Caenorhabditis elegans: one gene and its partner. The protein of the gene in region 2 interacts with the protein of the main gene of each other region in a pairwise test. Each region holds a gene or a part of one and is shown on either strand. Other genes may lie near its edges.

Region 1 (3,926 bases), on a different chromosome or scaffold from region 2:
ATGAAAGTCCGAGCTCCTGGGAAGTAGTCGGGTAAGAGGTATCATCTTCGTCATTCAACTTCCATGTACATCTATTCCTAGGCTCTGACCAGATTCGGACGCCTCCTTCATCACAAGACATGAAATATGTTCCACGAGAACTCCATCCGACGTTCAACACTTGCTTAAGATGACCATCGCAGGAAAATCGCGGAAGTTTCGTTCTCCGCTTGTCAATATCATCCGGAAGTTTTCGATCATTCATGTAGTTGTATTGATCCTGAAGATCCCAAACAACAGCCCGACTATCCTCACTTCCACATGCGATCACATCAGAAACCGGAGAGCAGGCGACTTGGGTATAAAAGTTGTGAATGGTGGCGCCAGTGTAGGAATTAACTGAAAGTTCAAGGTTTTTTGTGTATTGATCGAGAACATGTGTCGGCAACGTGGTTGAAGCACAAGACATGGAATGCCACAAAGTAATGCTTTTATTTGTTTGTGACTTTCTCAATTGATGAGATACCAGAAATTCTACAAAATTGGCTAGTATGGCATGTTCTTCTAGTATTTTTCATTAAATTTAGTGCTAAAATATGGCAAAAAAAATTTGAATTTTCTGATATTAGCTATAATTTTAGTCGAAAAAAATTGAAAAGTGCTCAAAACTTGTCTTGAAAATTACCGGAAAATTCGGCAAACGGCGATTTTTGAGCACTTTTTCAATTGTCCCAGCTAAAAAATAAGCTACTTTCATATGAATCAAATGATTTTTTATACTCTATCACTAAATTTTAATGAAAAAATTTGTAGATTTGCCGCGGCTAAAAAATAAATCTGATTTTCTCTTCTGAGATTTCTACCCAAATTCGATAAACCTTACTCGGTGAAACAGACTCCGATGGAACGGAGTACTCGAAAATTGAAGAATCGGTGCATGACGCAAACAGTCGATTACCAAAACGATCTAATGTCAGACAAGTCACCCCATACGATTTTTTGTTGGATGTGGGAACTTTTAGAATTCTGGCTGGCTGGCCTTCTCCGTTTCTTGTCGGTTTTCGAATATCCCAGACTCGTATTCCACTATCTGCATTTTCTGAAGCACTTGCCACGTGATGCTCATCAAGAAAAAGAACACTTGTCACTTTATAACCTTCTATCGTTTTCGCTTTTGCTTTTGATTTAGGAGTTCCTGATGTTAATACTTTTGATGGTTTTGGATGTGCAGTCTTGTATGTGATAGTTGCCATTCGACAATCTTCTTCCATCTTCTTCACTGTGGATACTCGCATATCCCAGATTTTGACTTGGAAATCACGTCCACCGGTCACAAAAACGTCTGGAATTAAATTTTTATCACGAAAAATTTTTTAAAATATCAAAAACACTTACTAGGATCATCCGGAGCGAAACAGATCGACCGTACAGATCCTTCGTGTCCAAAAAACACTTGGGACTTTCGATCCAACGTAGATTGATTTAAATCCCAACATCGAATAGTAGAATCTCCAGATATTGAAACAATTTGCGATTCCTTTTGGGGAACACCTACAACGTCCATAATTGCACCATCGTGAGCGGGAAAAACTGAAATCTTTTTGATTTTTAAATTCCTCAATCAAGGTATGCTCAGATCACAATAAAGTTGCCGTTCTTCCAAAGGCACTGATCGATCTTGAAACTTGCGAACATCGAAAATTCCTATATTTCCCGGATCATCTCCCATGTACAAAATGTGCTCTTGATTCAAGTGAGGCGAAAACCTGGCTGTTACCCAAGTGTCCTGAAATACTATTTTTATGAAATTATCAGCGTATTCCTCAGCAAAATCTTACGTGATCATCGGTTTCTCCGGCCGGCATAGAATAATGTTTTGATTCTAATTCTTCATATATTGATGATGGATATCGAAGATATCTTTTTCTAGCTTTTGTTGAATGGAGAAAATCCATATTTTATCTGAAAAAAGTGAAATTTAGTTGAGAAAATGATAAAATGGTAGAAAATACTATAAAATGGTAGAAAAAAGAAACCTTTCGAATTCACATTTTTCGCGGATCTTACGACACTCCACTATTGCGCCCGCGTGTTGTTTATCGTAAATCGACACACCTTTTACATATTCTTTCTTTGTGTATGTCTTCGTTTTTCTCTTTAAAATCTGCTGTAAAGCATTGTTTTATTTTATTAATTATGTTAATTTTCAGAAAACTAAAAAAAAAGAAAAATGAACGACGACCTGATCATGCGTAAGAAGCCAGAGCAGATCGAAATGGAATTTCAAGACAGTGGAGAGTCGGCGCTTGTAAAAGTGAGTAAATTCGTAAAATTCGGTGGCATAATTCCAATAAATTTAGAGTACATTACTCAGCAGTCTGCAAAATAGTGAATGGGAGATCGCTGTGAGGAAAGAAGTGAAGAAGTTCTTGGAGGTCAGTTTCGTTCAAACATAATCGCTTAATTCTCATTTTTCAGAAAGCCAGAGATGACGTGAGTGCCAAGGAGGTTTTCGATGCTGTCAAGGATATGGCGAGAAGGGAAATTCCACAAGAAGCAAAGAAGAAGCTCTACGATCAAGTTCTCGAATTCGTCACAACTACTAACAAGAAATGATTCGCTTTTACGAGGAAAGAAATCAACTGTGATCTCATTATATTTTGTAAAATTTCTTCAATAAAAAATTGAACGCAACATGATTCTCATCGGTGTAAATTCCAATAACAGAACGGAGAATTTGAGGAAAAACATGACATGAAATGTTTATTGTTTCTTTTTTGTAAACGAAATCTAAATAAAATAGGTTAAAGGTGCAAAAAAAGGTTAGAGGTGCAAGTATAATACTATTTACAAATTCTCGATAAAACAATGTACATAAGAGTATTCACAATACAATAAGTGAGTCTTCAATGTAGAAATGGGAGCAGTTATTTCATGATGAATCGATTGCAAGGGCGATCCTCGAGACGACGACTCTTCCCAAATCCAAAAATGCGCACACGGTCAAAAGGGCATGTTGCGCTGTAGCAACCCGCCATCTTGACAATCTGATTGATGCAGAAGTCGCACAGAGTATGTCCACAGTCTGAAAATTTGATAGAATTATTGGACTGAAATTGATAAGAGTTCAGCTTAATAATCTATAATCAAGCAAGCATTTAAATCCGTTTATTTACTCACCCATGACACGTGGAATTCTTGTGTTCTCGTCAAACTTCTGGTAGCAGACGAGGCACTCGGAATATGTAGCGAGTCGGGTCTCGCAGTCCAGAAGCTTCTTCTTCAGAACAGCCTGCTCTTTCACAGATTCATGTGTGATGCGATTGAGCTTGAACGTAAGGCGCATCACAGACACCTTCGACTTGTTCGATTCTTCTTGCAATAATCGATGAGCCTCACGACTGGCTTCAAGACTTGCCGTCTCCTTCTTCAACTTCTCATCTTTGGCCTTGAGTTCGGCTGAAGTTTTGGCCAACTTTCTCTCCGTCTCATCTAGTCTTCGTTGAAGAATTCCATCCGTCCTGCTCGACATATTTGACTGAATGCTTCCTCTGACAGACAGGCGCTGGGAATTTTTCAATGCTTGAAGATTGTTCCGCTGATCCTTAATTTCTGCTTCCATCATGCGCATCATGCCAAAAAGTGAGGTCAACTTCGCAATTGCTTCCTCGAAAGTCGATACAAGCGTGGAAGGTGGAGAGCCACTAGACGACATCTTACCTGAAAATTAGAATGAAAAGTAAAAAATCAAAACGCAGATTTGAAGATACTCGGAAAATGGAAACCATATATTTTTTCTGTGCATATATGCACAGAAAAAATAGAAAAATCGAGTGAAACAATTTCTGAAAAAGGCTGTAAACTCCAAAAAAACCAGAAATGCGCCGAAAACACTCAGAAACGCTCAAGAAACTGGAACGCATAAAAATGAAAATCCAAGTTTTGCC
Region 2 (3,926 bases):
GGATTTTTTGAATAAAGAATTATCTTTTTTCCGATTTTATGACTAAAAAACGGTGTTTTTTTCCCGGATTTTTTTCTTAAAATTGAGTTTTTTCGAATTTTTTTACTAAAAAATTGTTTTTTTTTTGGATTTTTTAAACAAAAAAGTTTTTTTTTCGAACATCTGGTAAAAAGCTGTGTTTTTTCTTACTTTTTGAAGAGAAAATTGTGTTTTTTTTCAGTTTTTTTTTGAGCAAAGCTAGTATTTTTAGAATTTCCAAAAATTAATATAAAACCAGGGCTTTTTTTTTGAATTTTTTGAAAAATTTTCACATCAAAAATCAGTATCAGGAGCATGAATAGGGTCTGTTAAAAAATAGAGAAATATTTTATTAATCGTTAAATATTTTCGAGTTCAAAAATGTGTGGAGGTGATCAAACAGAGAAGAAAAATCGATAAGTCTTTTTAAACTTAAAAGAATGCTATTTTACGATTAATATAATATTTTTTCTATTTTCTGACACTAAATTTTAATGGAATACGTCAGAAATAGCTGATTTTTTAAATGTTTTTATTGCAAATTGCCAACCGAAAGCTACGAACCTTCCACGAGATTCGGTCGAACCTCAAGTTCATACTTCCCGCCCTGGCCGAATGCTTTTCGCTGTTCACGCATCTCAATATGATATGATTGAGGATATACATGAAGAATTTGTGACAAATGTTCATTGGAAAAATCCTTTCCAGACGTATTCTTAACATTCTTGATCAACTCAGGAACCACACAGCTTCGATTCTGACCGATAAAGATCGCAGTGATCTGATCGATTCGTTTGAAAGTATCAGCGAGATGTTCATACGCAGTTGGAAGTTCAATCCGTTGACGTGCACTCTCCTTAACTTCATCAATAAGCCGTGAGCTCTTCAGAAACTCTGCAGTCATTCGTTTTCCCTCTTCTTCGTGAGCATCATCCTGCTCTCCGCGAACTTTTTCGGCCGATTTCAGGACATTAAAGCCGGGAATAATATAGTCTGGAACTGGCTTCTTCGGTGAGAACAGATTACGAGCGGCCTTGGATTTCTGAGGTGATTTGTGATGCTCAACAATAACTGGTTTCTTCGGAGATTTCAGCAATTCCACGTGATCATCGACCTGCTTCGTTTTGTTCTTCAAATTTTGCTCATGAATCGCTTTAGCTGCTCCTTTTGCAGCTATTCTTGCTTGTAAATCTGCAACAGTTCGAATTCCAGCCTTCTTTTTCGCTGGGCCGGATGCTTCCATTAGCTTATCGATCGCTGACTTCTGAGGAGCCGGATTTTCCAGAATAATATCTTCATGGATTTTGGGAAGCTCAGGGGCTTCTGCTTCAGCTTCTCTAGCTTTTTTTGGCGGAGTTCCGGAACTCGATAATTCCGCTTGACGGGATGGAGTCCGAGCGCGAGTTCGGGAGGATTTATTCTCGACGATTGGAGCAGCAGGAATTTGTACTTCTTTAATTGTAGTGGTCTTTGTGATGCTTTCATCGATAATCTTCTTTTCTCCTCTTGCTCTCGGTTTTCTGGTGGTCTGAAAAAGAAAAAAAAACATTAAATAATTGCAATTCATAACTTCAAACTCCAATTTACCTTGAAAAAGTCGGTTACAGCAGTCTGCGGAGTCTGGGACCTGGATCTAGTCACCCGGGAACTCATTTTTATCAGGAATAAATAATAATTTCAGCGAAATTATTCGCGAAAACCAAAAAATAAATGGGAGAGACGACAGACAAAGCGTACACTTTGAACAGTCCCGGTTTCCCGCACTTTTTGTCCATTGGAGCGCGTTTGTTGTCCGCTGCGTCTCCACGCTTCGTGCACTCCCTCGCCGCACCGGCATTCATTTTGAATGCTGACAAATCCACGTTTCATGCCGATTTTCTTAATTTTCCGGAATTTATACTATTTTTTGCATATTAAAATTGTGTTCAGAGCGTTTAAAAGTGCTTTTCACCTATTTTAGCGTGTAAAATGCCCAAAATTACCCAAAAATCAGTTTGAGAATGAATGCATTTTACTGTGGAAACCTTCAAAAAATCTTTTTTTTAATGAATAATTATTTAAATTGGCGTGATTCCTATATTTTTTGAAATTTTTTTTTCGTTTTTTCTTCTGAATGAGATATCTTTTGCTCCTAGAACTATAAACTGAACAATTTTGGAAGCGGTGATCCCAGAAATTACAATTTTTCGGTCAAAATTTCCCCAGAAATCGCCCAAAAAATAACGAAATTTCACAATTTCTGCGTATTAAATAGCTAAAATATATTCGTGCATTGTTCCGGGAGTATTTACAATAGCTTTTGCCAGAAATCCCAAAAAAAATGATGCGAAAGCTTAAAAATTGGAATTTCAGCGGGAAAAATTCAACAAATTCAACTACAAAATAACAACTTTTTTCAAAACCCAATTTTTTTCTTTAATTTTTCTTTAGATTTTGGGGATTTTTCCCATTTTTTGAGATTATTTTGCATTTTTCGATTAAAAATCCGTATTTTAAAGGTGGCGTAGTCGAATTTTTTTAAAATTGCTTCATTAGACTCAAAATTGTCTCAAAACACCGAATTTCATGATGAAACTGCTTGAAAACTTCTCAAAAAAAGTTATGACTGCTCAAAAAATGGCCTAAAATTAGTTAAAATTTGAAATTTGACCGACTTGTCAAGCGGCTGGAAACTAACTTTTTTGAAATTACCGTCTAATTTTGAGTATACAATTATATTATCTTGCATTTTCAATTTGATTCAGATATTTTGAAGTCGATGGACGGCGAGATTTTTAAATTTTTTAAACCAAATCTCGCCGTCCATCGACTTTAAAATACCTAAATCGAGTTGAAAACGCAAGATAATTACATTTTATATATACTCAAAATTTGACGGTGATTTCAAAAAAGGTAGTTTTTAGCCGCTTGAAAAGTCGGTCTAATTTCAAATTTTAACTAATTTTAGGCCATTTTTTGAGCAGTCATAACTTTTTTTGAGAAGTTTTCAAGCAGTTTCATCATGAAATTCGGTGTTTTGAGACAATTTTGAGTCTAATGAAGCAATTTTAAAAAAATTCGACTACACCACCTTAAAAAAATAAGTGCAGTAATCTAAATATTAAATTAATTTTCAGCCCATCTCCCCTACACCATGCCAGTTATCAACGTGAAAGACGACGAAGACTTCAGAAATCAGCTTTCCCTCGCTGGTCTCAAGTCAGTGATTGTCGATTTCACTGCAGTCTGGTGCGGACCGTGCAAAATGATTGCTCCAACATTTGAAGCTCTGTCCAATCAATATCTTGGAGCAGTTTTTCTGAAAGTTGATGTGGAGATCTGCGAGAAAACCAGCTCAGAGAACGGTGTCAATTCGATGCCAACGTTCATGGTTTTCCAGAGCGGGTATGGGTCTCATCTGGAATTGGAATAGAAATGCGGGAAATTTGAAGAAATTGCAAAAAAGTGAAGTCTCAGAAATTATTTCATTTTGAATATCTTGAAAATATTGATTTTTGCAGGTTTTACGAGCCAATTTGCAAGAAATTTATGAGTTTCCAAATTAAATTTTTTAAAGATAATCAAAACAGGGCTCTGCCATTTTTAATATGCTATAATCCAACTTTTTGATCTAAAATTGATATAGAAATGTAGAAAAAATTTATGTTCCATCTGAAAATAATATTTATTTTTGTTGAAAATTTTGAAAAAGGCCTCAAATGGTGCGAGGCCTATTTCAAATTTTTCAAAAAAAATAAATAATTTTTTCACATGGAACAGACCTTTTTTAAATTACATTCCTATATAAAGTTTAGATCAAAAAGTTGGATTATAGCATATTGAAAATTGCAGAGCCTTGTTTTGATTAATTAAAAAAAATTTAATTTGGAAACCGATAAATTTCTTGCAAATTGGCTCGTAAAACCTGA

The links.
Region 1: the proteins of cdt-1 (region 2) and cdt-2 interact in a two-hybrid assay, tested with the Caenorhabditis elegans proteins (one study listed by BioGRID).

What each region holds. Positions count from the first base shown.
Region 1 is NC_003283.11:14,988,979-14,992,904, forward strand, and holds the start of cdt-2 (WD_REPEATS_REGION domain-containing protein), read right to left. Parts: upstream 2,149-3,926; 5' UTR 2,016-2,148; intron 1,942-2,015; 5' UTR 1,935-1,941; coding exon 1,818-1,934; intron 1,766-1,817; coding exon 1,621-1,765; intron 1,570-1,620; coding exon 1,375-1,569; intron 1,322-1,374; coding exon 863-1,321; intron 379-862; coding exon 1-378. Other genes in the region: T01C3.2 (Transcription and mRNA export factor ENY2), read left to right, coding at 2,210-2,293, 2,340-2,414, 2,458-2,595; T01C3.3 (RING-type domain-containing protein), read right to left, coding at 2,907-3,064, 3,160-3,694.
Region 2 is NC_003279.8:3,226,297-3,230,222, forward strand, and holds the start of cdt-1 (CDT1 Geminin-binding domain-containing protein), read right to left. Parts: upstream 1,809-3,926; 5' UTR 1,672-1,808; coding exon 1,606-1,671; intron 1,547-1,605; coding exon 583-1,546; intron 1-582. Other genes in the region: txl-1 (Thioredoxin-like protein), read left to right, coding at 3,152-3,402.